4 linked regions of the Solanum lycopersicum genome follow. The main gene of each other region encodes a partner of the protein of the gene in region 4 in a complex. Links are inferred from orthologs where the notes say so. Each region holds a gene or a part of one and is shown on either strand. Other genes may lie near its edges.

What was found.
Region 1: sister chromatid cohesion 1 protein 4 (region 4) and sister chromatid cohesion 1 protein 1 share a complex: the UniProt entries of both Arabidopsis thaliana proteins name them as parts of the cohesin complex. The link is inferred for Solanum lycopersicum from reciprocal best matches to the Arabidopsis thaliana genes SYN4 and SYN1.
Region 2: sister chromatid cohesion 1 protein 4 (region 4) and sister chromatid cohesion 1 protein 3 share a complex: the UniProt entries of both Arabidopsis thaliana proteins name them as parts of the cohesin complex. The link is inferred for Solanum lycopersicum from reciprocal best matches to the Arabidopsis thaliana genes SYN4 and SYN3.
Region 3: sister chromatid cohesion 1 protein 4 (region 4) and sister chromatid cohesion 1 protein 2 share a complex: the UniProt entries of both Arabidopsis thaliana proteins name them as parts of the cohesin complex. The link is inferred for Solanum lycopersicum from reciprocal best matches to the Arabidopsis thaliana genes SYN4 and SYN2.

The regions. Positions count from the first base shown.
Region 1 is NC_090805.1:48,872,946-48,881,038, reverse strand, and holds the start of sister chromatid cohesion 1 protein 1, read right to left. Parts: upstream 4,308-8,093; 5' UTR 3,876-4,307; coding exon 3,823-3,875; intron 3,252-3,822; coding exon 3,183-3,251; intron 3,095-3,182; coding exon 3,036-3,094; intron 2,961-3,035; coding exon 2,916-2,960; intron 2,792-2,915; coding exon 2,772-2,791; intron 2,681-2,771; coding exon 2,604-2,680; intron 2,228-2,603; coding exon 2,107-2,227; intron 1,701-2,106; coding exon 1,631-1,700; intron 1,483-1,630; coding exon 1,410-1,482; intron 1,222-1,409; coding exon 1,112-1,221; intron 758-1,111; coding exon 684-757; intron 598-683; coding exon 436-597; intron 242-435; coding exon 76-241; intron 1-75. Other genes in the region: serine carboxypeptidase-like, read right to left, coding at 6,863-7,110, 7,199-7,457, 7,592-7,683, 7,795-7,945. UniProt on the Arabidopsis thaliana protein: Involved in chromosome condensation, pairing and segregation during meiosis. Responsible for cohesion between replicated sister chromatids.
Region 2 is NC_090800.1:77,426,682-77,434,846, forward strand, and holds the start of sister chromatid cohesion 1 protein 3, read right to left. Parts: upstream 4,709-8,165; 5' UTR 4,482-4,708; coding exon 4,358-4,481; intron 2,439-4,357; coding exon 2,177-2,438; intron 2,104-2,176; coding exon 2,057-2,103; intron 1,964-2,056; coding exon 1,914-1,963; intron 1,821-1,913; coding exon 1,753-1,820; intron 1,673-1,752; coding exon 1,299-1,672; intron 1,201-1,298; coding exon 1,089-1,200; intron 1,006-1,088; coding exon 869-1,005; intron 795-868; coding exon 310-794; intron 15-309; coding exon 1-14. UniProt on the Arabidopsis thaliana protein: May be involved in sister chromatid cohesion during mitosis.
Region 3 is NC_090801.1:70,964,224-70,972,030, forward strand, and holds the end of sister chromatid cohesion 1 protein 2, read right to left. Parts: intron 7,484-7,807; exon of another isoform or gene 7,199-7,483; intron 6,593-7,198; coding exon 6,307-6,592; intron 6,165-6,306; coding exon 6,127-6,164; intron 6,030-6,126; coding exon 5,992-6,029; intron 5,333-5,991; coding exon 5,274-5,332; intron 5,202-5,273; coding exon 4,645-5,201; intron 4,387-4,644; coding exon 4,275-4,386; intron 4,135-4,274; coding exon 3,998-4,134; intron 3,922-3,997; coding exon 3,467-3,921; intron 3,292-3,466; coding exon 3,255-3,291; intron 3,177-3,254; coding exon 3,155-3,176; exon of another isoform or gene 3,111-3,154; intron 3,015-3,110; coding exon 2,882-3,014; intron 2,527-2,881; coding exon 2,419-2,526; 3' UTR 2,163-2,418; downstream 1-2,162. Other genes in the region: CSN3 (COP9 signalosome complex subunit 3), read right to left, coding at 338-584, 677-792, 1,291-1,487. UniProt on the Arabidopsis thaliana protein: May be involved in sister chromatid cohesion during mitosis.
Region 4 is NC_090810.1:3,496,580-3,504,082, forward strand, and holds part of sister chromatid cohesion 1 protein 4, read right to left. Parts: intron 7,116-7,503; coding exon 7,069-7,115; intron 6,507-7,068; coding exon 6,419-6,506; intron 6,282-6,418; coding exon 5,324-6,281; intron 5,223-5,323; coding exon 4,797-5,222; intron 4,495-4,796; coding exon 4,350-4,494; intron 3,192-4,349; coding exon 3,055-3,191; intron 2,586-3,054; coding exon 1,453-2,585; intron 849-1,452; coding exon 815-848; intron 198-814; coding exon 83-197; intron 1-82. UniProt on the Arabidopsis thaliana protein: Involved in sister chromatid and centromere cohesion during mitosis.

The sequences.
Region 1 (8,093 bases), on a different chromosome or scaffold from region 4:
GCAAGTCAAATGTAATTACCACCTGTTTATAGTTTTGGCAACTAAGAGTCTAATATCATGGATGAAAAACCAGACCGGAAGGTGAATCATGCGGAGGTTGGGTATTCCTCATCCATAATTTTAGGAGTGGTGCTGGATAGTGAACTTCCTTATTTCCATTTGTGAACAATCCTTCTAGTAGTGCAATAGGAGGCATTTCCATCATTCTGGCTATCTTCATAGAAGGTAAGACACTCAAAGTCTGCACAGAATAGAAACTTAAGGTTACTAATAAATGATGCTGCATGTTAGTTTAGTTAAGGTTACCTTCCAGAGAGAGATGCACATGCTATTCTTGGGATACACAAAGACTAGCCATTGATATCAAAGGTTATACGGTGCACACAATGGAAAAATTGAAATGGGGAAGATCTAGATTGGGAGGTATGGAAGTACCTTTCTCTTTTTCCTTTTTCTTGATGCAATATCTGAAGAACTCTGAAGCCAGGATTGATATATGTCACCAGAAATAATAGTTTGCTCATGATCAATTGCAAGACTTGTGGCCTTTCTTGTTCTTCGTCGAGCTGGCTTTGGCCTTTGTTGATCCTGCCGCTGCTACAATATCATGTCAAGACGTAACATTAGTGCTGACAGTTTTTCTTTACATTATTTTCTAGCTTGGTTGCTTGTGGAGTTTCTACCTCAAAAGCTTCTTTAACTTCATCAGATTGTTGCTTCACTTGGTCCTCTGGATGTCTGTCAGGGATCTCATCAGCTGCAATAATGTTTCGCTCCATTCAACCAATTTTCAGAAATAATTAATTACCTAAGGAAATCTAAAGACTTTTACAAGCTCAACTCAATCCAAAAGAGTTCTGTGCTTGAAGGAACTTCATATGTAAACCGGAAGTTTAATGGTAAGCAGCCAGGTAGCTACAAAGTATTTTAACTGATCTCATAGTAGGTAAGTACGACTTGCATTCATGTTCCTATTTGAGAGGAAGGGTTTATTGCCATTATGTCTCTATCAGAAAACCAAGTGAAATAATGAAATATCGTAACTCCATCTACTATTTACATCTCAAAAAACTTCATTTATCTAAAGTAGAAGATAGTAACACGTTCTTACGTTGATGGGCTTGTTCTCGAGGTGGAGATTGCACAGGAGTACTTGGGATTTGAGCATCCTCTGGCTGGGTATAATTCATTTGTGTTTCTTCATCCCCTTCAATATCAAACCTGCAGAACAATTCATGCTTAAAAATTAATAGGGGGATAATAGAAGGAAAGCTTTGCAGTTAATTAAAAATGGGGCTAATTAGCCTCCTGTGATTTAATGGTGGATAGTTTGGTTCACGTGAAGTTTTTATGCGAACTGATCGTACAAACTTAGAAATACAGAGCCTACAAACTGTTCATCGTGATACCTCTCAAAATGATTGAACATATCTGTATGATGGGATTCAAAGCGTTCAGCGAGGGTGATATTATCTGGATCAACTGCAACAAGGGTTTCAGGATTGTTTTAGAGATGGGCACAACAAGACAAAACTGGAAAACAAAGTAGCATTGACTAGGATATAGTTATATATTCTATTGTGATGGTGAAAGTAGCATAATCTATGCTGATTGTGGGATCTAGGTGTACCTTGATGCAAGTCCTTAGCAGGTTCCTCCTGTGCATTGGGTTTATCATAGAGATCAGCATTATCTAGTCTCTGCACATTGAACATCCGCAAGTTTAGCTGCACTCTCATGTAGTGATCTGATTTTCACTAAGATTTCCTGCTCTTATCCAAGTGGTATCAGATAAGATTGCCTACTCAACAAGGTCATGAACACTGAGAAAACCCAAGAGTGGAAATAACATAGAACAAGCTACAAAACATATAGAGTAACCAAAAGGCGAAGGGAAATCAAACAACTTTATCATTGTTAACTTTCTATTGTTGAGCTTGCAGACTTGCTGAATAATGAAATATGACTTATTTAACAATCTAAAGCAAGCTCAATAGTTTTAATTAGATCAGTTCGAACAAATTCCTAATTTTCCTAACAATTTTTGTTTCTGCTTTTGAAGTTATTTCGTGGATTGAGGAGGTGACAGAGCTTTCCATAATGTACCATCGTGAAATAGGAGGTTTGTTCGAAATCCATCATTGTGACTGTGTCTGGATTCCGTAATGTCTGTTCAATCTCTGGGAGTTCTTCCTCCCGATTCTCTGGCAGAGTAATAGCTGCATACCTACAGGAATTGAAATGAGGAATGAAAATTCATCAACATTAGGAAAAACAATCACAGGAATCAGAATTTAATGTTTACAACCAATTCATCGCTAAACTAGGTATTTTTAAGTACAAAGACCTTAGGTATAAAGGACTCACAGCATAAGCAGGCCTTAAATAACTCATTGATGAAACTGACCCAAACATTGAGTGAAAGAAATCATAATAAATTGAGTTAATCATTTCAACTAATTGGTGGCAGTCATACTTTAGTTGTTAATTTACTGAAGCACTATTGAGGTAACTGAAAGTATTAGAAGTTGTTAAAAGTCGGCCTTACAATCTCTGCTTCTCGGCAAAATACTGTGACGTCGAATTGGAGATGAGTTACTCACTTGGCTTGCGATTTACCCTTGGGAAGTAACGTAGGATCGGTAGCTGCTTTGACTTTCCAAGCTTCATTGATTTGCACCTGAAAGTACCCAATCATAAATGCGGAATTTAATGAAAACAGAGCAAAGAAAGAGATTAATTTGATTAGGATCGAAGACAAATGTTACTACCATGAGACGAGTCACATCCTCTGCATTAAAGAAAACATAAAGAAAAAAAAATGAAGAAATAAGGAAGGGTAAAGTAGGAGTAGAATTCAAAGAATTAACGTGAAATTCAAATTGAAATGATGAAGTCATCATGGCAATTCATACCGTATAGGAGTTTCACTTTGTGTTCGTAAACAATGACTACTCCACCTGAAACAGAACTGTCGATTAGATATCTAAATCAAAAGCAGCAATTGCGGACAGTCAGTGGTTTTCGAAGCATACCCATGAGAATTCCAGAAAGCCTCAGAGCCATCGGGACTGATGGATTTAAGATTTGTTCACTTGACAAAAGAAATTGCAGAAGACGAATACTCAAAATCAACAAGGAATTAAGGCATTTCAACGTAGTAGTAGAAGAAAACGCCTCACCAGATGTTAATAATATTGAGTTTACTAAGCTTTTTCCTATTGAGTTTTGAGTGCAGAGTGGCCGCCATCCTTCACAGCAAAGAGAAAGATCATAAACAATTTCAATTTAAGCATTCTTCGTAGCCAAATTGAAATATGAGAACTTAACATATACACAAAATCCTATGAAGTAACTTCAACGAATACAGAACATTAGACACAGAAAGCAAATGACGAAAAGAGGATCCACTACAGGGATTGCGATATATGAAAGTTAAAAAACGCAGAAACACAAAACATGCAACTTATCTATATGTATTAAACAAATTTAGAATAGAAAATCAAAACAAAAGCCGTAGTAAACTGGATCAATACCTTCATAAAACAATTTTGAATTCAAGCATTTTCTGAACAGAAACAGATCCAATTTTAACAGTGACAACTTAACATATAACTCATAACTTCAGATTACGAGAAATAGGTTGAAGAAGCTACTGAATATCATTAACCAGCGACCAAAGAAGAACGACAATCTAGCTCAGGATATACAACATATGCAAGTAAAAAATCAGAAACTCCAAAAATGTAGCGTATGCATATGAACATAACGAATTTCGAAAGGAAAAAATTGAAATGACAAGTAGTAATCGACAATTTTCACCATATTTGGCCGAGCGGAGCTTTGCGAGCAAGAAGCTGATGAGAGTAGAACATATTGCCGTCGTGAAGAAGGAAATTTCAGCACTGATTTTGCAGAGTACTTGAAGCTAGAAGGTTTTGTATATATAGTTGGAGAGAGAGAGGGAGATCATATGCAAAGTGAGAAAGGTGAAAGTGTGTGTGTTTTGTGCCTGTGCGTCTGTATATACTGTAGAGTATACCCGCCATAACAGAAGCGATTGCGATTGCATTTTGCAGAGTATATTGTGGGGACCGCACCCTATTGCAGAATGAATGTTTGATGAACTCAAGTCACAGCTCAAGTGAATGGAATTTTTGTGCTATCGTTCCTGAATGGCTTCCACGTGTCCCCTACTATTCTTGTTCAAGAGGCTTAATTTAATGGCCCAATCATCGATAGCCCTTAAAGTTGTCCGCATAATTCATTTAGACACCTCAACTGAGACTCTTATCAATTAGACATTTTAATATTAATAAATATTTACCTATCAAACATAAAATAATAATTATCTTTACAAATATTGTGCGTGTAATGCACACTCCTTATTTTGACAAAAATTACGAATAGAACTACGACACGTGGCATATGGGCCCATAATTTTAATTTTAAAAGATAAAGAATATTTTCCTTCCTTTAATAATATATAAAAAATTAAATTGATAAAAAAAAAAATCTTTCTCCCCACCCTAACCCCCACCCCATCTAACTTACTACCCTTTTTTCTTCATCTTCTTCTCTTCTTCTTCTCTGTTGTTCCACAATCACCATTTCTTTTCATAACAAAAAAAAATGCCTAACCCCATCTCATTCCGAATTCATCCACCAAATGTTGTCCTCTTTCATTTTCTTCGTTATATGCTATTTCTCAAATGGTCCATTTTTTCTTCTTCTTGAAAATTCAACAGGTACTTTATTTACATAAAATGAAAAAAAAAATGAATCATAACAAAAGACAGAGAAATTTGAAGTTTTTAAAATGGTGGGTTGATGCTTTCACCGATTTTGAACAATCTTCATTTTTCTTCAAATTATCGTCCTTGTGAAGAGAAATTCGAACTTCGAACTTCGGATACAGAAGTGACGGTGGCGGTGGGCAGCAGAAACAGAGGCTGCTAAGAGAAGTGATTTTTTCATGTTGTTTTTGGATGGAAAAATAAGGGATTTTGGGGGAATTGAATGGATGGTAGTTTAAATGGTGGGTTGAAGGAAGATGAGTGTGGGGTTTTTTTTTTTTAATGATTTAAAAGATTTATGTTTAATTAAATTATTTTTTTATATATATTTAGTCAATGCATGCCAAGCGTCAACAAAGTAGGTATTAATATTTTTAAAAAAAATTAAAAAAAAGTATTCACGCGCTCAGCAGCAGTGAAATACACTTATTTTGTCACATCAGCGTTTTGTGTTTAATAGGCACATTTCTTGATAATTTAGGTGTTCAATAGGTATAAGTCCTAGTTCAGGTGTCTAAGTGAATTATGTGGACAACTTTAAGGGGCTGCAGATGACTTAGGCCTAATTTAATTGTTACAAATAAAAAGTTAGAAGTGATTACACTGAACCAGAAAAGAACCCATTAAACATGACTATGAAAATGTTAGTAAAGTCTAAAGCACGAAAAAGCCATCCTTCATAAAAATAAAGGAAAATAATAATATTATTATTATTATTTATTTATTATATTATTATATTATTTTCAGTATAATTCTTTTTATAAATTAAATTGTTATAAAATATTTAAATATTTGATTGTATAAGCTTAATTAAAATATTAATAACTTTTAAACTTTTTAAGATTAATTCCTAATTAAATATAATTTATTAATATTTATCATCTATAATCTATATGTATATAATAATTATAATTATTTTTTAAATAAATAGTCTCTACTGAAATTGCTATATTTTTCCTTTTCTCATAGTTTTTTCCTTAACTCTTCTCATAAATAATATAATTTATATGGATAAAGTATTATCATTTATGATAAATAACGAAATTTAATAATTTAAAGGGTACAAATATATAAAATGGAGACACATATTGATATTGTCCTTTTGATTATCATTAATGAATGATTCTAGCTTCACAAATTTAAATTCATTGATGCTTAATTACATGATAAGAACTTTGGTTGTTCTTTCTCCATGGTTTGCTAACTTATAATTTCCTTTTTCACATTCTTCATTTATTTATTATGATTTTCTTTTATGCTCTTAAATCCATAACTCTCATCTTTTCATATTCAGAACCTTCAAATATTTAAACTAAAACTTTAAGTTTTCTTTTGATATTCTTCTATTCTATGTATCTAAAATCAACTTCTTTATCTCATGAACTCCCTACCAAGATTATTAGGCTATTATTTTTATTTAATAGCTAAACTAGATGAAGAAAACTTTTGAATTTTGATAGGATATGAAAGGGGTCAATAAGATCTCAGAGAGTTATGTATTAATTTTGTACTTGTTTTTTCATCTATATGTAAATCGGTCTTATAAGAATAATGTCTATAATGAATTTTTTCTTATATCTGTTTCTTTTGTCTTTTTTTCCTTCTCTATTAGACTTGTTATTTAGTTTTCTATGAATATTTTATTGCCGTAAGTCTTTATTCATATTTTGTAATTGTTACATTTTATTATTTATTTACAATTTACATATATATTTTCATGAAATTTTAGTCACTATAACATATCTAAAAAAAATTACATAGTTCTCAGAAACTAGTATGCAAATAAATATGTAAAGCTTATCTCTTTTTGAATCAATCTTTTTCAATCATGTTTCTAAATTGTGAATCATATACCCTCAATTTGCTGATACAGGAAAAAAAAAACATGTTGGAAGTAGGTTTTGCAGAACGTTATTTCCCTCGAAGAAAAATCATTTCATTGATAGATTTGTAAAGTAACATGAAACTGTGAATTTACATGATTACTATAATTAATTTTCTTGAGACATGAAACTACATTAGTATTTTTATTTTATTTTTTGTAATCAATCTATTTATAACTTGTTTCATATAGGAGCAAGATGATCTTCTTTAGTCAATTTATTCTGCATCCACCTCTGGAGCATTTCTAGTGCTGCGTTGGGCTGATCCATTGGTACCATATGGCCTGCATCATGGACCTTGAGGAAAGTTAAAGGCCCGTGGTTCTTTTCAACTCCTTTCTCTACACCATCTACTGTAAATGAAACTAATGGGGCTTTTCCAAAGGCATTTTGCCCTGACCATTTCATTGCATGCACCCATCTTGAATTCCCTGTCCATATAATAAACTAAAAGTTGAATGACCATACGTAAAACTAACTAAAATTATCGCGTAGGTGAGGGATGAAATGAATTTTTACCGAGCCAATTGCAGATAAGGTCGTATTCCCCTGCATATACAAGTAGCTTGATACCATCTTCAAGAAGTGAAGGAATGCCTACTTCAAGATTCTTCATCCAATCCAATTGCATTGCTTGGTATACTTGAGAACTACATGAAACAAATTCAATATCCCCAACACCAAGGGCCTGTCTAACTTTTTGATCATTCAAGAACGTTTCCATTTTCGAGAAGTCATAGCATAGATCACCCTCACATCTCTTCCGCAGATCATAGTACTGCACCTCCGAATTCCATAATATGAGTTCAACTTATATACACTAACAGTATAGAGATTATTAATAAGACAGATAACCTGCTACAACAAGTTAAAATATACTACTGGTATTAAAATGAGATTACTAGGTCTTACGTTTTTGTCACCAACAATATTCATTATCTTGTTGAAGATGCTTGTACAAACAAGATATGCTGCCATACAAGCAACACCGCTGCGATCTTTTCCTGATATTATTTGCACAAAAAATAGCCAATGTGAACACTAGCTATTGTGTTGTATGAAGAAAGAAGAACTTAGAGGATTTTTAAAAAAATATATAAAAAAGAAGGAATTACCACAAAGCTTGATTGCCTGTTGACATTGTGGATAGGTCTTCTCTATGGTATTGTAATCAGATTTGTTGATCAATTTCATATCCAGAGCAAAGTCAGTGTAGGCTTTGTACTGGATTTCTGGATCAGTAAGTCCATTACCAATGGCAAATCCCTAAACAAATGTATTTTGCTTAAGTTAGCATGATAATTAAGAAATTCAGACAAAAACTATCTGGCCATGAAGCAAAAGGGATGGTATATTGAGACAATTAGCAACTTCCTTCGTCTAGTTGTTATATTTCGTTTTTCAAAGTCAAACT
Region 2 (8,165 bases), on a different chromosome or scaffold from region 4:
AGAAAACTTAGATCCTGCAATGGCATTTAGTGATTTATCAGATGCAAAGAAAGGAAGAACTAGTTGAATAGTCATATAGGATGACAAGTTGACCATAGCAGTGCACTAGGTAATAAAGCATTGAATGAGAATAACCACAAGAATGTTAAAATATAAGCCATTTACAAATCTCAGTCTAAAATTTATTAAAGATGTGTTGAAAGGGTTAATGAGACTACTACGGATGATACAAAGCTGCTGAAAAAGTTATCTAGATGAATATCAAAGTAGATTCACAATTTAATAGAAAGTGACCATGATCGAACGTACCCCAGCAGAATTATCAAACTCAGGAATATCAGATAAGACAGTATCCTCCACACCTAGTCCTTCTCCAAACCATGTTGAAGGGGTCTCCATATGAGAACCAACATGCCCAGTAGATGCTGCTGGGTCGGGCGTGGGCTGCACCCCACTATCTATGGTTCTTCCTATCTGACTAGATTCTGTCCCTAAAGTTGTAGTAGCAGGACTGAAGTCATCTCTTCTGCTTGTGGAAGGCATGGACATCAGTGGAGAAGAAATGAGCCTACTTGGGGAAGGCATAGACATCTGTGGAGAGGAAATAGGCCTATTTGGTGAAGGCAAAATCTCAGACAGCAAACTAGTGCTTGCAAGGTCTTGGTTATCACGTAATCTTTCAATTTCCACCGGAAGATCATTCCCAGATGGAGGGGCTTCCTGTGGGGAAGCCATCTGGACTTTTGCGGAAATGAAGTCTTTTTTGTAGATATTGCAAAGATCATCGCATAATCCTACAGATTAACAGAAGTTGAATTTTTAGGTGAAGAACATTAGACTCATTAGATAATGGCTGTGAGACACCCACCAGTAATTAAAGGCTCAAAGAAAATTCCATCTTTTCTTAGTCTCTGGTTTTGTTTCCAGATGTCCAAAGAAAAACAAGGAACCTTCTTCTTTTCGCGTGATTTTATACCGATGCCCTTTAGTCTCCTTTTCATCTCACTGTAGAGTTGAACATGATACATTGTCAAAATACCAATGGTTGAAGAAAATATATAGTTAATGATGATAAAATATTAACATACTTATTTGGCAATACTATGTCCTTATCATAGATGAGTAGCTTTCGCTTTCTTCTTATTTTTGGCACCTCGAGAGGAGGTGTTGAAAGAAGTGCTAAATCAGGTGACTGATGCCCTGAATATCCAAGAAAAGAAGAAGTTTCATGTTAGAATATTAACATGGCAAATATGTAATTTCAGTTTAATAATAAGAACCTGCATGCAAGCACCCACCAAATGATATCTGTGGATCAGCAAATTCATGAGCATCCGCTGAAGTAGTTGATGGTGGTTCTTGTCGTTGTTGAGATGGGATTGAATGTCCTCCGGGGGCCAATATCTCTTTCACAACTGGACTTGCAGTTTCCTTGTCTCTCATGATCTGTTCCTCCAGAACTCTATCTGGTTCCATCACATCATTCCCTCGGTCAGACCACAAGGGAACATTCTCAAAACTGTGATCATGGACAGCGTCACGCATGAGTTCAATATCTGGAAAATCTTGAGGGATGTCATCACCAACAGTTCTTTTGTTTAGTCCTTCCTGATTCTTAGGGGAAGAATGTTGGGGTTGAGCAGCAGTTTCATCTAAATTTGAAGGATCAGAACTGCATCATCAAAGAAATGTCTATTACAAACATGGCAATAAACAGAAACAATCCACATCTATAGTCAATAAGATGCATACTCTATCTCCATAGGCATGGAACCTAATCCAGAAACTTCACCTGATTTTGACAAACTCTTCACTATGTCCTGTAAAAACAAACTCTTTGTCAAACTAGTGTTGCAACTTAAGTGAATAAATCGAAACTTCGCTGCTAATTATGAAGCAAAAGATTTACCCACCTCATCAATGAAAATAGCAACATACTGATCTTCATGCGATACAACTTGATCTATACATGGAAAATTTCAGAAATGAAAGTTCAATTGAAAATGAAACAGAAAAAGATACAAAAAAGAAGAGTTAAAGTAAACATGATACATACCTTCCAAAGTTATCTCTTCGTAACTTTTAACATGAGTATCCTTAATCCTGGAATTCCAAATGCACGTATAACTAACTACAGATTCAAGATGACAACTAAAAAAGTACTACAGATACTTACCTATTCAGGTCAAGATCTTCATCAAAAACGACGGCATCAAGTTCAAATGTTTCTGGTAAAGTGATGGAGCTGTATGGTGCATGAGTGGCATCTTCTGGGAGATTGACATTTGTAGACGAGAAGGCCTTTATAACTCCCATTAGTAGTGTTTTGCAGTCCTCGGAAAAGTATTCAACCTGCTTCGAGTATATCCGAACAACTCCAAGTAGAAGATGGCCAGATGTTCGCAGTGCAATAGGTACTTCAGGAGTCATGATGCGCTCTACAAATAGATTTCAAAAAAAAAAAAAAGGAACAGTATCATCAGCAAAAAAAAAAACATCATATGCATATCAAAGCTACTGCTATGTACTTGTGTAGAGCAACTTATACATCCTTTCTGGCTTATACGCACCTTGATTGTTCCACGGAGTACCCAAGAAAGCATCAAAGACTAACTAATTAAAACAAAGTACATTTGGCATATACCAGAAAAAACACATCATTTGTACCACTGAAAGTTTAAGGTTAAATATGTTCAAGATTTAGTGTCCAGCATAAGATAAATCTGCAACATTCCTAAATAATATGACATAATAAAAAGGTAAAGAAAAATCCCATCTTGCCCCTAAATGATTCAAAAGGGGATCCTCTTTGCCCTCCGTTAGTTTTGGCACAAAAATACCCTTATCGTCAATCAAGTAGCTAAAAAATGTCCTCATAGTTAGCCAAGTAGCTCAAAAATAACCTCCCACTAACTATTGCTTTAGCTCAAATGGAAAAAGGGCTAATTGAGCCCTAAACTATATGAAATGGGACAATTACGTCTTTCTTTCTCTATAGCTCAGTCAATATCAAGCAAAAAATTGTTTTAATGATTGGTATTGTTATTTGCATTATGTTCAAATTCTAAGAACATACTTATGTACTTGACTTGTCCAACCCCTTCCCGTTACACCCTGAAAGCTTCCCTATAAATGCCATCTTATCTTTATTATATTCTATCACTTATCGAGAAATGGAAACGGGCCAATTTTTGAGCTATTCGGTTATTGATAAAGGCATTTTTGTGCCCAACACGAAACAAAGAACACAGTTACATTTCAAATAATTTAGAAGCAAATTGGATCCTTTCCCCAAATAAAGTCATGGGTAGAATCATCTAAACTTCAAATCTTTAATCTCTTTCAAGAGAAAGATTCAGAGTTCACTTTTATCATACAAAAGATTCCAATGGACCTTATTTTATTTGTGTGATGAACAAATTTGTTCTCTCCTTCTTACCTAAGAACTTAAGAGTTGATGTAGTGTCTAAGTTCAAGTTCCAATTTTTTATGCTTAGAGTTAAAGTAGTCCAGTCTCCTTCAATATATTAATTTTTTTCACAGCTAAAAAACAGCCCATCATGTCCTCCTTCCCCCTATTCAATCATTATCATATGTATGGGACATGCATATCTTCAGACAATTTTACCGCTTAAATTTCAAGAATGAAAGTTCCTCATTTTTTGACCTCCTTAAAATGATCAATGAATAACTAACACAGGTGACAATACATTGTACATAAGCACAGACTAGTCCAAGAGTTCAACTATCATGATTAGAACAGAAGAAAATGTCTCCACTAAATTAGAAATCAATTCATCTTTGCAAATGATAAAAACCTCCGTATCAAACCAAATTTCAATACTTCAATCAAAAATGCAATCTTTAATGTAAAAAAATAAATCTTCATCTCACAGAAAGATCCTAATTGATATCAGCAAAACAAGAACTGAATAATAAACTAATTATCAAGCAACAAAAATAACATTAGATACATAAAATTACATTCAATCAACACTCAGCAACAATGACTCGAATTAAAAAAAAAAACATTTCAATCTAACCCTTTAACTAGCATTACTATAACAGAGAGAAAATCTTGAAGTACAAATACTTATATAAAAACTTCCAAGCTGAATTAAAAAGATTCACAAGAGCAAATCTTTATCTCACGAAACCCCCAACTAACAGCAAAACAAGAATCGTATGTCAACCAAGCGAAATTAGCAAAATCATTTTTTTTCTTTTTTCAAATCCCAAGAAAGAAACAAAACAAAAAAAAAAGCAATCCATTGAAATAAAATATAAATCTTGGCAATGGGGCAAATAAAAAGGGACCCTTTTTTTCAAGAAAAAAAAAAGACATTAGAAAACCTACCAACAGTAGATGGAATGTTAGTAGAAGTATAATGAGGCTTCTTCAACTTGTGTTGCAAGTGTGCAGCGCACCATACAGTCCCTAATGGACCCTTCCGAGCCAAGAATGTGTGCGAATAAAACATTTCTCCGTCAACAAATTAACAACCAAGAACGGCGATTGATGGCGATTGGCGGCGATTAATGGTGATTGGCGGCGAACGGCGGCGACCCTTTTCAGTTCAGAGGATTCTCCAATGACCTAATTCTCTTCGGCTCCTCAGTTCTGTGTGTATAGTTAATTGGGGTTTTATGTTCGAAATTTTTGAGGTTCTGAGACAGAAACCGCGGGAGAAAGTGGCGCCAATGCGGCAATAAAATAACTTGACGCTTTGTGTTTCCTTAAAAGGGCCGACTGGTTTTGGTTATTTACGCAGATGCCACTTCTGTTTAATCGCGTTAATTAAAAGGGTAAAATGATATAAATTCACATTTGAATTTGTTTCGAAAAGTAAGTTACACTTTTAAATTATTATATACCTCTGCTACTAAATAATGAACTTTTTTATCTATGAGACGTATAGTACTACTCTCAAAAATGTATCACACTTGGATCACATCAGTGTTATATCGCTGCCATATCAAATGTCATGGCAAAATTTAACTAAAATCCTCCATATAACAATTGTTTCTTCTTTGATGAACACCACCATGAAATCACTATTGTTGCCACCATAAAATATATAAATTTGGTAGTAAAATATATAAATGTGAGGGTAAATTTATGTATTTTCTCTTAATTAAATGACACTGTTTAGATTAGAAAGAATTGTGTGATCAAACAAATATATATTGGTTAATTAGTTATTATGACTTTAGTTCTAGTTAATTATCACTTGTGTCCAATATTCAGTAATAGTTACATGGGGTGGGGTTTCGAGTTTGTATGAAATCAATTTTTTTATAACTTTTATATAATATAATTTGTATATTTGTTTAAAGTTCAAATGTTTGTATTTGTATAAATTTGTTATTTTGAATTTATACAAAAATAGCTCGATTTAAAAAACATACCTCCAAATTATACAATCTTATAGCTACAACTCGTAAATATGTAAATTATAGCTATGAAGCATAATTATTTTTTTTTAACCCCAAGATAACCCGCAATTGTTGCAACCTTTGTCATAGGCTCTAGCCTTCGTGTGAGCACTTTGTGCGCACTATGTAAACCCTCATTGTGTAATAGACTGCAAACCAGACAACATAATTAAGTTTATTATAGTAGTTTTTTGCGAAAGTTCCCCAAATAAAGGTGAATATTAGTGGATTTTTTTACTTCCTACGAAGGAAAAAAAAGGAACGTGGGAATATTAAAGTTATAATACATAATTGTGTGTTCTATCATCTATGTAACAATTTATATGAGATATAATCAATGTGATTTGTAAGATGTCATATATGATTTACGTATTTGTTGATGTATTAGTGGTAAATGACCTGCATGTATCATAATTTTGTATCTGTTATTATGATGTGATCATTACTTTGTATTCGGATATGATTTGAGTAAAAATATATCATCATGATATATTATATATGATACATGTAATAAATGAATTAATAATTGAGACGAATCACATACGTTTTGAATGTCGGGTGTATGTATCACAGATTTGTATAGTGTATCAAATCAGGTCATTATTGTGAATATTGTATATATAAATATAGACCATACATATATACATACATACATACAGACATATACATATATGTATATATATATATATTAAATTTATATATATATATATATATATATATATTAGATTTTTGTGGATGGTTGTATCTTTGATAATTTGAATATACCTAGTAAATGTTACTGCAAGATAATTATGAAATTGTGCCGATATGTGTTAGTTTGTTGTTAGATAAGTGCTGGCTTTGAAAATAAAAAAATTGTATTTCATACGTGTATCATTAAATTATTTTAAATGTTTGCAGATTGTTCCATGTCATATGAGTTTATATATCAAGATTGTTATATGTAATATGTACATATACATTGTATTTTAGTTGGATAACACTGAGGTCCATTTGACCATGCGACATGGTATCAAGACATGGAATCATGAGATGAAATTGAAGTTTTATTTGGATATGCGATATTGGATTTCAGTGTTGTATATTTTCTCACAAACATAAAAATCTTATAAGTTTTAAAACTATTAAAATAGCCTCAATTGTTTATTCAATATTATCAAATAAACAAAAATCATAAAATCGTATAATAAATTATTACAAAGTTATTTGTTCTCCACTTAAGTAATTATTTCATCAATATATTTGAGTAAAAATGAAACACCTTTCACGGGCTCTTCAAAATTTTATTGCTCAACAATCGTGAAATGTGAGTTAAAAAATGACTATATGTTAGTGAGAATAATAAATTTTTAAAAGTAATGATGTGATTATAATTTTTTTTTTTTACATATGAAACAGATGGTTAATAGATATAAATGTGGGGTTGTTTTAACAAAATATAAACTTGTGAATCAATTTTTATATTAAAACAACTCAAATCATGATATGGAATTCTCATATGATTTGATATCACGATTTTTGGAGAATATAGTATCACATCTCATGATATGGAATCATGAGATGAAATCAGCGTAAAATCGCATGTCCGAACGCTGATTTCATCTCACGATATCATATCGTAATATGGTATCACATGGCCAAATGCCTACTTAGCAAATATCAAAGAGTGCAGATACATAACACACAACTTATTTGTTTTTGTCTATATAACCTTGTAAATTTGAATATGATTGATGGTACATTTATCAAATGATATATTTACAAGTATATTTATATTGAACATGATAAAACTAATTGAAGATTCAACATTAGTATTATATATCGACACCTTAAATATGAATATGATCCGTTGCATAAAACAAGGATGACCGTAGAATCAATTACAATGGAGAATCATATGTATCAAGAAAAAAGGGTAAAAAACAAAAAACAATTGACAACGAAAAATATAAAAGTTATCTAATTCAGTGGTTTAATTTTGATTGACTAGAGAGAGATTTTTTTTGAAATTCAAATTGAAATAAAAACTGTAAATAAGTAATTTTGAAAATATTTTAAAATGATAGAAAATAATGAAAACTATGAAAAATAAATGTATGTATATAAATAATTAATCCTATATTAATATCAATTTATTTTGTATCTATTAGCATTATTATTTTTACTATGATCATAGCATCTTATTGATATTTAAAGCCATGTTTAAATTAATATCTTCTTATCAGCGTGTAATGTAATGAGGTTAGAATGCAAATAAATAAATAAATAAATTTATGGCTTCAAGTTTATGTCGAAATGGTGCATTTAATCTTATTGATCACCTCATCGAAAACCTTCAATTAGATTAATGGAAAATTCAAAGAATTTTAAGATTGTCAACAAATTTATTTGACTTTTTTTAAGATTGAAGTTAAGTTTGTTGTGTTATTAATTAGAAAAAACAATTTATTTGAAATAAATAAGTCACATTCAAAATTATATTTTTAACATAATAGCTTAAAATGTGATTTATTTAAGCTAGTTAATTTTGAATTAAATTATGTTCTGCAAATGAATTTTTTTTTTTCAAAAACACACAAGGATAATTACCGTTTAAAAAGTTTGAGTCTAACTTGCAAATTAAAAATCATAACTTCGGTAATTGGTATATAATTAAGACAATAAATGCACCTTCAAATTTCAATAACACTTTAAGGTATTGGAATAGACTCTATTAATTAATAACGGTC
Region 3 (7,807 bases), on a different chromosome or scaffold from region 4:
AACTTTGTCTTTAGGTTGGAGAACTAAACAATATCAAAGGTAAGAAAGGCAGACGTAGATAATTGTATACCAATACCATGGGTTTTTGAACAAAATTAATTCTTTCACCAGATAACTATACAAGCAAATACAAATATTCATAGGCGAGTAAAGTTCCTCTTTCCTATAAAAATTAGAAAACACACTGATAGGAAAGCATGATTTAATGAATTGCCATAAAAAATATTCCAATTTTTTTTTTTAAAAGTCACAGAGAAATTTAAACAAGGAACGGAACAAGGGAACGACACCAACACAACTGAAATAACTTCTAAGCAGAAAGTCTGAAACAACTAACCCGTAGTAACAATAGAGAAAAAACTCCCGTGGCTGATCAATCTCATATATGTCATCCTCCAGCACAGAGAAGCCAGTTTTGTAGCACTTTGCTAATAGACAAAGAAGAAGAAAATCGGCATGCAATGTTGTTAATTGCTCAGGGGAGGATTGCAGTTTACGAATAGCAGTCAGCATTGGAGCCACACCACGAATCGGAGTTTCCAGTCCGAAAACATGATCCTTGAACTTTTTACAAACAGAAATGACTGCAACCACAAATTGAAGACGTGCCTCAATATAAGTTAGACCAGAAACAAGAATATTCACAAAAGCTATTCCAGAAACCAGAGAAAATTACACTTATTGGGCGCCAACTGGATTTGCTCTGTAGAACATGAATTGATAAATCTAGCGACAGAAACAAGCAGTTCACTAACATGCTCCTTTGCAACTGGGAATGAGATGCATGCCTCCCTGTTAGTTAACAAACACAATTATATGATTAATACACACTAGACAGAGTACAAAAGACAACGCGCACTTGTTACACAAATACTGGTCTTTAATTCAGTGGATGGTTCAATTCTGCATTATTTTTATAGATTATGTAATCAATCAATCAACTATGCCTCAATCCTACATGTATTGGTGTTGACCATAACAATCCTCTTTGTCAATTAGCTTTTCTTTTTTCATAATCACCGTGGTGTCCACCAAGCTAATTCCACGCGTACCAATACCAGGTGTCCAACAAAGTTAGGGCAGATGGGAAAAAAACACCTGCATTGGGATTTTAACATGAAACCTCATCGTCCATAGCCCACGATGACTAAGCCACAGCCCAGGGTGTTTTAATCAATATATCTATATATATAACCTAACAATGGCTAATTTAAACAAATAATAATCTTCAGAATAGAAACCCTAGGTTTAGGTTATAAGAATAAGAGATGAGGATGAAAAGGAACTTACAGAATATAGAGAAAACCTAGGGAGTGAATAGAAGGATCGAGTTCAGCGAGAGAAGAAAGCAAGCGAGAGAAGTCGGAATGGAGTAGCTCTTCCGATTGTTTGAGAAAGTTGTGAAGCTGAGTTATGTCTGATGAATTGCTCGATAGCCCTTGGATTTGAGCAACCACTGATTCCATTGAATTCATGTTCAGATTCATCTCTCTCGCCCAATCAACACACTTATGAGTTTCAGCAGATTCACGTCTAAGAGACGAGGCTTCAACTGGACTGGGTAATAAATAAAAAGAAATAATTGGGACTTCTTTTATGTCCAGTTTTATTTCTCTTATATAAATTAAAAATAAAGAGCGATTGGGTTTTCATCTATTTTTATTAAATTTAAATTTATATAAAGAGATTACAAAAACTTCTTTTTAAAAAAGAAATTATTAAACATTTTAAAAATACCTAAAAATTATTTTAATTTTTTTTCTTCCATTACATATAAAATTGGAGGAATAAATTATTTCGAATTTGACAATCAAATAATACATCAAAATTTTTATGCATAAACTAATTTTTATTCTATGAGTACTTAAAGACACGAAAGACCTCTTTGTGTCCTACTCCTACCATGTCTTTTTTTTTTTTTTTTTTCGCGATAAAAGCTTTTTAAAACTCACAAATACAAATGTAACATGATATTTATACGACATAAGTCACAACTATTATTGCTCATTGTTGATTAAAACGCCTATGAATTGACAACATTGTAGAGCAATATTTTTCTATAACCACTTCCAGATATATATTGGGTATACAATTTTCTCATAAAAAGCCTTTTCGTGTATTTGATGTTAAAGAAAATTGGAGTAATAGCTTTTCACAAGTGGTTAAATTGGGCACCAGTAGTAGTTATAAACCAAAACATTGACAATAAATTCAACTAATTCCTGATAGAAGACATAATAGTTAACAATAACCTAACTTGCCTTCATGTTAAGGAGGAAGAGCAATAGCTAGCAAAGAAAAGCGCTCTTCCACTCATATATACTACCAAACATATATAAAAGCATATATGTCATGTGATTGTTTCCTCTGGCTACTATTTACCAACACAGCTCTCTTTGTGAACATATATATATAGATTCAGGACTCAGCTTCAAAGGTCTGCTTTAGTCTTGGGAGTTTTTGCAAAAGAATGTCACTGTAGGCATCATCCTGCCGCACATCTATACAGCCTCCTGATTTCAGAACCTGCGTGGAAAATAAGCATTGTAAATAATTCACAATGTATATATCTTACGTTGGATTATATTTACGTAAAACCAGAGACAAATGCGTAAAATAAATTCATGTGTCCGTCCATTATAACCAATGTTTATAGGCCAAGAAACACGGGGGCATTTAACAACAATAGAACCAAAGAAATTCCTTTTTAAGCACCACCATCTAGAGCACATCCTGGATGCTTGACAGAAGGGAAACAAGGGACAAAAACTCCTGCTGAAAGCGCTACTCAAAATATGTATCAAATAATTCCGTTCATCCACAAGTTCAATTTGGCAGACCTAAAATTACCAGAAAGATGAAAGGAACCTAAAAACAATACCAGTATCTCGTAGAACACCCTTGCACTGTCTCCCTTTGTTTTCCCCTTCATAAGCAAGGACAAGTTGACAACTTCTACCTCCTCCTTCCCCTTCCGAGCAAGGAAGTTTTCAAACAGGAATTTTGCGACCTTTCTGCATGCAAAAAGCCAAAAATTGGATCACCGCCAAAAACAGAAGAAATGAATTTTCACAAATTTCTGAGAGTCATAACCAAAAGATGCCACAGACAAGGGGATGCAAGAATTGAAACTGAGATCCCTTATTCATCATACCCTGTTCTCAGGGAATATTTGCCTGCAACCAAGACAACAACTTATGAGAATGGCAACTCAATTGAAATAATATTGCACCACTAAAACAGTACTTCCTTACATTTTCCTGAGGTATCCCCTTCAAATGAATTGATCTCCTGAGGAAAGAGCGCATTTGTTGCAGTTAGCACTTATTAGCATTGCAATAACAGATACAGACAATAGAACTTTTTTATTTCCAAAAAAAGTTAATAATCATCACAATACACTTCAGTAGCTGAAAGCAATTTCCTTTACTTATGTAAGCAATCAGACTAGTCAATCGTGTCATACCTCGTCCATTAAATTCATTTCAAATTCTACATCCTCCATGGAAAGTGCTTCTTTCTCTGTGATTTCAGCTGAACTTGCTGGTTCTATGTGTGATTTAGAAGTTCCTTGCGTATCATGAAATCTCAGCGAACTTGAGCCAGTGACAGGTGTTGTAGGAGCAATAGGTGTTTGTTCTCCATCATATCTGAGAGTATTAGGAGATTCAGGTACACCCACATGCAGAGATGCCGCAGGAGCATCAGGTATTTGTTCTCCACATCTGAGGGTACCAGGAGATTCAGGTAAATACTCATGCATAGATGTAGCAGAAGCAATAGGTATTTGTTCCCCAGATCTGAGTTTATAAGGAGAGTCTGGCATGTCCTCACGCAGAGGAATTTCTACTGTTTCTGCAGGCCCATGCTGTGCTGATCTAATTTTGCTAATTGCTGATGCAATATCAATCGAAAGACTACCTGCATTGCCACAGTTGGTTAGTTAAATTACCTAAAACACGGAAATGGCAGTGGCAGTGTTTGAACCTTTACTCACAAGGAATAAGAGGCTCCTCAAAACTCTGAGGAAGTGAGGAAATTTTATGTACTTTCCATGCAAAATAACTGGAATGAGGGGATTTCCTTCTCTTGCAAACTAAGTCATTTGCATCGCCAATCCAGTGCTTGAATACCCTGCATGTTAGGGTTGTGTCACATCAATCTCTTCTAACTATGCGATGAACTTAACTGCACTAACTAAAGAAGGTTACAACAAGAAGATCCTGCATACGGATATCTTAGTGCAATAGGTTGAATAAAGAAAAGGATCGTACTCATTTGGGATCACAATAGATTCATCAAATATGCACTTCCGCTTCCTTGAAATCCGCCTACGCTCCTTCTTAGCTGGGGTGCGAATAGATATAAAATCCGGTGATGTAGATCCTGAATTAGAAGAAAGTGATGTTGGTTAAAACAACAAGCATTTTAGAACATGATTTGCTTGGGCATCTGAAGGGACAAATTAGATTGTGTCCAACAAGCAAGCAAAAAGGGTGAGAAGGGGCACACATATTCCTTATTTTTTCTAGGTGAAGGGGAAAAAGAGGGGTGGCAGGTGCAGCTTATTCCATTTCCGGTCGGATTCAGCTGTTCAACTAAAAGATATGTGAAAGAACAAGGTAAACCAGATAAAGGAATCACCTGCGATCTTGGTCTCTGGGGATACATCAATACAGAGGGACACTGATCGATCAACTTTAGTCCGATCCTTCCCTTTCCTCGAGGAAGATGCTTCAACATTTTTCTTTTGCTCAAAACCACAGTTTTCCACAAGAGATGATTCACCAAGGACTGCTGGTTGTTCATCATCTACATTCACTCCTACATCAGGGTGTTTTAAGAGCTCACGAGTATGCTGATGAATTTTCTCAGATTGTTGATCGGTGTTGATTTCCAATGTAGCTTCTGTGATAATCATCGGTTCTGCGTGCTTTTCCAAAGATGACCTCTTTTCATAAAGATGCTCCTCGTTTACTAAGTTCCCAGCACTCGACTCTTTCATTTGCTCATCACCAGTCTGGTGATCAGCTTTCCTATCAAAGATCATCTGAATTTCAATGTCCCCAAAGGTCATTGGTTCAAAGCGCTCTTCCAAGGAGAATCTAGTCTCATTAAGGTTCCACATAGCTTCCACGTGGCTTGACCCAACTGATGGGTTGAAGTCCAAATCTTTGTCCATCAGGTGAGGTGAATATATGCTATAACATGAAATGTTAAATTCTTAGCACTAGCACTAGATCTAATTAAAGAGGTGCGAGATCAGTGCATACTCTCTAACTGGAGTGTGATTTGTGGACTTCAACTCTGAATGAGAGACACCTTCCTCATACTGAAAAAAGCAGCTTATATGTCATGTATGCAAGAATATCCACAGAAAACAAAGCTTGAAGTTTTTCATGCAGCAGTACCAGATTGAGAGATAGAGACGGGAACACCCCAACCCCAACACCCACACAAAATGAAAGTAGTAGTTATGCGAAATTCCAACCAACCCATGCCATCATCAGGAAAAAAACAAATGAAGGTGACTGCTTACGGCTCTAAGCTAATTCTTATTCAAGTATCATCAGAAACTTGAACCAGTTTGATCCATCAAATAACTTCTTCAAATTAAACACAGCACCACTAACACTGTCCAGTACTTGTTCAAAGAAAAGCAGTTACGTGAATTCGTGAATCCATGATGTATCTTGACAAGTACAAATTCCACTAACCACTTTGCAGATAATAATTTAAAATCAATCAACTGATTCGATGTGCTACACCAATCCTAAGGTTCTAACAACATATAGCAAAGAGTTTAACATAAACTATGAGATATTCAGGGAAAACAGTAGTATATCTTGCTAAGCAGTGATAGTGGTATTAAGTGAACACAAAGCAGAAAGTGATTTATGCTGCCTTCTTTTGTTGGAAAAGTTTCAAAGGCCGAGACATGCTGTTAACAAAACAAACCAAAGAAATGATTATACTTCATAAAATGACTACCTTGCAAGATGAGCCAAAAACTAAATTTTCCTGAGCATCTGAAACAAAAAGCAGAAACTCTCTTTTAAAAAAAGTAAGTGACATAAAGCCGAAAAAAGTAACCATGAATTAAAAGACAACAGAAATGTACTGTACCGGAAAGCGTGATTTCTTCACGGGATGCGAAATGACTACTTCAAAACAGTTTGTTGCAAACCAAGATTGAAATAATTAAACCCCAAACCGACAATCAGAAAAAACACAAGGAGAAAGAGAAAGGAAAACATACAAATTAACATGGAAAACCACGTCATTCATGGAAAGTATTTATTTTACCTGTTTGCGTCTTGATCTTCCAAGACTTCCAGATCAAAAGTATCCAGTTCAAATTTCTTTGGTCGGGTGATAGAGTGGACAGGAGCATGCATACCCGCGATCCTTACAACTGATGGTTTACTAGTTGGTCTATTGCGAGTTGAAAAATCAGCAAGGTTAACAAGAACATTATTACAGTCTTTGAAAAGATACTCCACTTTTTTCGAATATATTCTAACCACACCCAGGAGCAGGTGACCTAAAATTCTGTATGTGACCACAGGAGCTTCATCATGCAGAATTTTCTCTGAGCAAAGGAAAAACCAGTAAAGCAAATCTAAATCACTCAAGAAATGATTAAAATTCTTAATGCTACTTTTATGTGCATCGTGCTGCAATTAAAAAAACAGAATCAAACAGTGTCAAGAATCTGAAATAAAAAAGATCCCAAGACAATAATCACATTCATTACGTATATACACAGCAATTCATAAACATGTGAACGTAATCAAGATTGCAAACAACAACAACATGCCCGATGTAATTCCACAAGTGGCGTCTGCAAAGGATGGTGCATATGCATCCTTACCCCTACCTTACGGAGGCAGAGAGGTTTCCGATAACCCCGCCAAAAACAGTTACCTAGATCATCCAGGGAATTCACAGAGACAGCATTTAACACCACCTATAATCACCCAAGTTTGCAGCAAAGGTTCACAATCCAACATAAAGCCAGAAACCATTTTCCGTGGCTCGGAAGACATGCTAATTTCCAAGTAATTAATATTTTACACTGAGTCTTGTGAATTCCATGTTACAACTATAGCATTTGTTACAGCTAACACTAGAAGTTGCAAACTAAGTGAAATTTCCAAAAAAAAAAAAATGTCAGTCACACATGAACCTATTTCACCTTCATGACCAAAACCCCGATTCTATTCTGTGATCAAATCACATTCTTCCATTCATTAGTTTACCCACGAGGTTCAACGAGAAGCTGAGCACCACAATATTCTTTCTTCTCATGGGGGGCATTCTACTAGGAAAGAAGATTCCTATAAGTGGTAGTACTTAATTGGGGCATTGTGGTAAAATTATTTGCCGAGAGAGGTCTCTAATGACCCAACGACTTTCCGATGTGATTGACAAGCAGTGGTTTACGAAAAATCTAGTTTAAAAATGTATGGTTTTAGCACTCAATTTGAGCACAACTGTTCAGCCATCCAACTATATGTGAAAAATAGAAGGCTATAGTTGATGTAGGGATGACATCTAACACAATGGAGACAAAAGGTAACTAGTAGCTGCAATTTGGGACAAAAATAAACTATATGAACTGTGCATGCGAGAGCTATGTAAAGAAATCCGCCAAACTCATGTCAGCAGCACGTCTCTTTTTACTAGTAAGTCAACAGAACACTAAATTCCAATAAATAACACTGTGGTTAAATTAGAAATCAGGGTTCTCTAAAGGGTAAAGAAACAACCTCTCACTCTGTCTTAATGTATGAAGAAAATAAAT
Region 4 (7,503 bases):
CTTGTCTAAAAATGACACTCAGCTTACGCAAGCCTAGACTTATAACAGTAGAATAATAGGAAATGAAGGACAAGCAGCACACCTTGTACGAGAGGACCATCCAATGTTCTCAGTGATACGGGTAACATCAGCAGCTGGAACATAATCATCAGCTGCTTCAGCTTCTTCATCATCATCGTCATCGAAGTTCAGAAACCCTAGATACCAAAAATAATGTTACACCAAAGCTACAAGACTAGGAGAAATTTTACAAAAACTTCCAAAGAAACTACAGTACCAATGTTGCCACGCTGAAATGGTTTGACCATTCTGTAATAGAGGTAATAGTAATCTTAGATGAAATATGTCTCGAAATATGGAGTTAAATCTCTCATATCCCACAAATACAATACACTGTAAATTGCTCTTATAAAAGCATTCCGGGCCAAGACACTACTCTTCACACATTTCCTCAAACTCTTCTACTTGTGTGTCTGATTTCTTCACACATCAAATCAGACAGGTACAAGGAGAAAGGTCATAATTTACAGCATTTGTCCATGACTAAGAAACCTTGTGAAACCAATTTTCAAACTATAACATCAAACTGAATGCAGATTTTTCAACCCATTATCAAATTTAATTAACAAAGAAAAATCCAGATGCAAGGTTCTGAAACAAGCAAGGACAGACAATCCATCTTAATCAAACATGCCTAATGTTACAGCAAATTTGAAAATATTCTCGTCCAATTCGACTTTGAAATTATTTGTTTTTTCTTTCTTTTAAGGCAATAAAGTTTTCAAGTTTTGGTTGCAGATGAGGGAAAATAAACCTGTATCATTTCCAGCGGCTGAATAATGTAGATCCTGCCAAAAAAAAATGAGGAAAGCTCATATCAGCAGAGCACATAACAAAGTAAATCTCTTATCAAAGCAAAGGACCGTTATTTCAAGCCCATTTTAACAAAAGCAATCAACTGATAAAGAATCTAGTAGTTTGGGGGGAAGAACAGTGCAAGACAGAAGGTAACCTCCAGTATACATGTTCATCTACATCAAGTCAAGATTTGTGCTCGTACATATTGCTGCTTGCTAGATTTTTTTAGATTTTTAGATTATTCAATCAGGTCTTACTACGTTGAGACCTGACACTATTGGTAACAATATAGAGGTAATCTTTTTCTTTTCTTTCTTCCCCTTCCGCTGAGTTCCAAAGAACCACACATACTGAACAAAGAGCAACAGGTCAAGAAGCAACAAGGAAGCAACCTAGTCAAGACCAGGAGAAGATATAGGTACTTCCAACTTTGATAAAAGAGAGGTACATAATTATTGATTGTCTGCAATTTCTATCCAACGTGTCACAAAAAGAAAAATAAGATTGTCATGTATAATACATGAAAGAGAGAGAGAGAGAGAGAGTACTGAAACTCCAGAAGACTAGCACTCGAAACTAAGCTAGCACACTTACATTTAGGTCACCCAGATTGCCATTCGTAAGATCTGTGCCCATCATATTGTAAGAGAAATTTTCTTGTTTACAGGGATAGTCTCCGGCTCCTATGGGATCATCCAGCAAATGCATATTCGTTTCATCATATGAAGCATCTGTTTTGGGTTGTTCAGTGCCCATAATGTTATCAGCAAAGCTCTGGTTGACATCATCTGCCACTATATCTTCTACATTAGTTGCAATTTCAACTGTAGCACTGTCTTGGGCAGCCTCCAATAGAACTGCATCTTCTACCATATTCTCAGTTTCAGTTTCAGCTTCAGAAATAAAGTAGTTGCTTTCTGGCCAGTCACTACTAACTACAAGGTTTTCATCATTCAAATTTTCCAGAGACTTATCAGCTTGAGCAGCCGGTGCACGATTGGGAGATCCATATGATACTTCTGGTAAAATAAAATCAGCTTCCCTTCCAGACTCATTAAATGGATCTGTCAGAGGTAGACCTGCCGCGATATCACCATCGCCACCTAATCCACCACTTTTAGGACACGCCAATGATTCTTTGGCGGCAGTGGCAGTATCTGCTGCATCAGCACCTGAAAGGTAAGTTACCTGAGATCCTATTTCTGCTGTATTATCTGAAGGTTCAAGATGAAAACCATTGGCCGCTGATACATCAGTGACAGTATCTGGCCGCAATTGAGAGGCGTCACTATTTAAACATTGGTCATGCTCACCAACTTCCTTGTTCTCAGTTGGAATAGTAGCCTCAACAGCTCCTAACATGCTATCATCTCTAGCTACAAACCGTTCATCGCTTCCTTCCTTTCCACTTTCTCTTTCAACATGTGATTCATTGCACACCATCGCTTGTTGTTCCTCCAAATTTGTGATGGGGTTTTCAGCATACTCAGCAGTTAGCTGTTGACGTTGTTCCTCCAAATTCGAGATGGGTTTTTCAGCACACTCAACACTTGGCTGTTGACGTTGTTCCTCCAAATTTGAGATGGAATTTTCAGCATACTCAGCAGTTATCTGGGGTTCGACCGCCTTCTCAGCATGAGAACAGCTAACATCACTAGAAGAAGAGACTTTGACTGTACTCAAGTCAAATGTTTGCTTATGTAAAGAAGCCAATTCCACCGACAAACCTGAATCAGTATCAAATTGAGTCAATATGAGAAGATAGCAAAGGTCATTGGTGCTATGCAGCACTAAGAACAAAGTTAAGAGGCAGGCAGTAAATGTGCCTTCTCCTGTCATGAAACAATTAGCAAAAGAATTTTTAAAAACTTAAAAGCATGTGCTTGTATTCTTAGGGTGTCATCAGAACAAACTATATGACAGTACTTGGCATAGAGTCTGAGTAAATATATTTCCCAAACACATCAGCTTAGTAATTCCAAGGCATACATTCAAGTAGAGAGACATTAAGCTAATCAATAAAACAAATATCCAATACACTTGAAGTGTAGCTAGCTCATATTAGCACTTATTATGGATTAAACATAGACAAAAATGTGATCACCTTTTATAATATCCACAACAAAAACAATTGCATGATTCAACAAGAAGAAGACAATCAAATAGCAAAAATGTAGACTTGCATCCTGAACCCACCAGTTAATACTGCTGCTCTGAAAATTTCATCTTCCAACAACTGTTTCTGGATTGCTGAGATTTCAGCATGTGTGCAAGGAGCTTTCTTCCTTACGCGACGTATGTCCTCAGCATGTATCAACTGTTGTCTTATCATACTATCACAAATTCAAATATGTTTTGTCAGTTATTCAAAGAATGAGTTGAGAAAGCTATTTAAACACATAAAACGATTTTTCAGATTATCAGGAAAAAACAGTTCACTGGGAAATAAGGCAGAATGACAAGACAAAAACTAACTATTTGGGAAAGGGAACCTAGCTGAATCGGCAATAATTCAGACCCGCATCAGTTCACTATTGCATGTCAACAAGAAGCGGAAACAAACAAAATACAGTCAGTTCTCTCTCTTTCTCTCTTTTATTTCGAACTATTCCTCAGTGCACCTACATCCCCCCTGTATTACAGGCACAGGATAACTCTGCCCACCAATACATAGGCATAGATGGGAAGAGATCAATTAGCTTTTGGCCTCTGCTGGAATTCGAAACCTGGTATCCCATGGTCTTTTTCCCAGTTTCATCGACGGCTAAACCACCACTTTGGTTGCACAAACAGAAATGATAGAAAAATGAGTTGAGAGGTATCTGTGATCCATCCAAGAACCAACTTATTTTTTAGAGGATCTGTTCACGTTCATTACGAAGTCTAAAGGTTGTTTATCAGTCAACAATATCATATTTTCCAACACCTTTGATCAAGTATAAGTGAGAACCAGAGTGGCCAGACTAATAATCATGATAACAGTAGTCAGAATGCTGAAGCATTAAGGAATAAAGTATCCAAAATAACAAGGGTTGTGTTCAAATTTGACTGGAAAAAAGAAAAAGCAACAAGACAAGGCAACCAGCAAAAATTTGCAACATCAAAACAAAGCCTATAAAGAGACAGGCTTTGACTATTGGATCAGAGTAAGACCAGCACCTAAACTCTGGCACACAATAAGTAATTCAGTAGAGCAAAAGCAGCTAATTCAAGAATATAGTGCACATTGTATTTAAAATAGACAAAAGACACAGTGCCAAGAAAATGCTAGTCTCAATTCTCAGTCAGACTGCTGATATGGATGCATTTATGATTTTATACTCTGCAATAGATTGTTAAAGCCCAAGATACATTTTTTATGCCTTTCATGTGGTTTAATCTGCTATATTTTGACAACAAGAAATGAAATATAAATCATCCGGCTTGGTGATCTAAACTAGTAAAAAGACGCATTTACATGAACAGAAAGAAAAAATTACGACAGAACATACTCTCCGTGCAAGACCATGATATCATCCATAAGAACCTTTCTTTTACTGGCACTCATCCGAACAGCAGATCGGGCACGCTTGCTAGATGTAATCTCAGAAGGTCGAGGAGTAGCCTTAAGCTTCAGCGCTGAAGATCTTCTTCCAACTGAAATAAGAATGAAGATGTTACATATATAAGGTCTAAACTCAAGAAAAATGTTAATTTCCCCTCACCCCTGTTATGTAATACTTAACTGAGTTCAAAGGTTTACAAGGTTACTTTTACAGACATATATTATCACATTATACTAGGCAGAATTGTGGCGAATAATTAGGAAAGTGGAAATGTCTCACGTTAGTCAGAAAAGAGGATATATGTCATATAATAAAGAAGAAAGAATTTTTCATCAAGGTAAAAAGGGTCACCCTTCCCTTCTATGAAGTGCAAAAGGAGAACTCAAAAAGTACCAAGTATAGAAGAGAGCAAATCATCATCATCGGGAATAAATCCTCCAGACTTTTTGGAACGGACCATCCTTGAAGATTCAGCTGAGTTGAGACTCTGCTCAGTTAGTGTGCTCTCAGTGTAACTGCGCTTCTTTCCTGAAATGAATTTGTCACCAGCCTCCACCTCATTGAACCCTGCCAAGTAATCCGGCGTAGCCTCTGGGAAAATACTCCGAGGTAAATCAACAAGCCCTCTTGACATTGATAGAATTTTTTCAGGAGCTGGCAAGGCAGAGGCAGCTGAACTGCTCATAAATTCCATGTGGTGATCTTCTGGAACAACATTATCTGCTCGATCAGTTGATTTGTCAGTATCTTTCCGAATGTCTTCAAGTGGAACAGGTTCTTTGACGAGACTTTCTTTTGAGATTTGTTCTGAATAACCTGCTGGCATGTTTCAACTTGAAGTGTTAAGAGTACATTCACAACAATATTACAACATAGCACACAGATTTATCCCAACAAACCTAAAACTCTAGCACAAATACCTGAAGCATGTAATGCGCCCTCCTTAGAAGTTTCTGGCTGGTGGAAACCAGAAAAATTAGATGGTAGCTCGTTATTAACAGCATGCTCACAACTAGACTTCGATGCATCAAGTTGAGCAGAAGCATTACATCGACTCAGAATATGAACCTGGGCACCAGTGTCTTCATCAAAAATACTTTGTTCCAGACAATCAGCAGTCTTTGGCGTTTCAAAGCAAGTTATATCTTGGGATTCACCAGCATCCATGTTTTCTGGAATTGCAATGTTATTTGAGACTGCCTTAGGTGATCTCGGATTACTCGGTGAAATATCTTCACGAACTGGCTGGCAGATGCTACTTAAAGCAGAAACATCATAGTTAACTTTTGTGGAACTAATTCCATTTGGAAGTGGAGGCTTGTCGGGGAAGTCACCAGGGGTAGATACGTCAACCTTGTCCATGTCAGAAAGCATACACTGGAAGCTCCTCTCGTTTGTTTGACCATCAGATGCAGCAACAATCTCATCCGCACATTCTAGTACAGATGATTTTGCATTAGCCTGATGAACAGCAGCAGAGGATGGTCCAGATGCTACAGTGGGATCACCAAGTGACACAAGATCCACTGCAACTCCACTTGGAGGCAGCTGACCATCTGGCAAGAGTTGTTTGTCACACTTGTTACCTAAATGGTAACCATTCTCCTCAGCAGCCCCAGAGTGAACAGTATCAGCATTCGAGACATCAGTTAATGCCTGATTTTCTAGAAGCACACTTCCGTTTTTCACGTTATTTTCACAAGAGAGATTCACTGAATTTGCTTTTACGGCATATTCCGTCAAATGACGATCTTCCAGACCTAGATGGTCCTCACATGCTGATATTTCCTGAATGTTAGACAAATTTGGTTCTTCCACTAACCCAGGAGTACATGGAGCATGATCCATGAAATCAGCATCTCCATCAACTCCATCCAACTGCATGAAAGAAAAGACCTTGAATCATTCTAGCATAAGAATGTTTAAGGTATATAAAACAAGTTGTCTGGCACACAACAATAAATAGTCAATAAACAGCTACTTTGTAAGGAATAAAGGACAGATCGACTAGTTACCATGCTCTCGGAATTTGCAACCATCTCTTCATGGTGTTCTTCTTGTTTGATTGGTGTCATTGGTTCAACAGATGCTTGAGGATCCGCACTGGAATCAGCAAAGGTGTCAGATATTCATATCATTAAACTATGCAGTAGTATAGAATTTCAGTCTGATGGATTGACAATCAAAACACCTATTATAGATATTTGACCTGCCCCAACACAATCCCAAGATCAAGAGACTCAAAGAAAACGAATATCAAGGTGCAATTGTTTGACTCATTTCACACCATGAATCCAACCTGACTTATTAGTACTGCCATTCACTAGCCTATTTAGCATTAGATCTCCAACATAACTCAGTAACCCACCCATACAAAGCATAAGGTGCATAACATTAACGGAAAAGTCAGAAATTAAAAAAGCCATCACTTAAATGAATATGTATATATAAATTTTAGTTTTGTATAGCTAGATCCATATAGCTTTTTGCATTAAAAAGCCCCCAACCAACCAACCAAAAATACAAAGCTTTAACCACAAAACTGGAAAAAAAGTAGACCACAACAATATTTTAAATAAGATGAATCTCATAAGAACTTATGAATGGTAACATTCTCGTGGAATAGGGGAATATTGTAAGAGACAGTGAGTAATATGAGGTCAACCTCCCATTAGCATCTCCAGCAGCAGCAACCTTGTCCAGAAATAATTCCTGTATGCAATTAGAAGTCCAAAATCATAAAGAAAATAGAAATACGACATAACACTATAATACACATTTCTTTATCAAAGGACACTATTAAACACATACATGCAGACACCTATATAACCAGCAATATCTAGCCATATGAAATAGGTTATCAGCATCATAAGGGAACATAGATTAACAACAACCGAAAATAATTCATGTAGAAACATGCCATTAGAAACCATGAACACGATTATTTTATTAGGAAATTTCTCGTAACACGATAGATAAAACTATGTAGAGCACGACCGACTATTCTTCTCTTGAGATCCTAAAAAGAATTCTGTATATTCTCAATAAAGAAATAATACCTTTAAGGGTAAGTGAAACAAAGACGAAGCTAAGGGCTGAA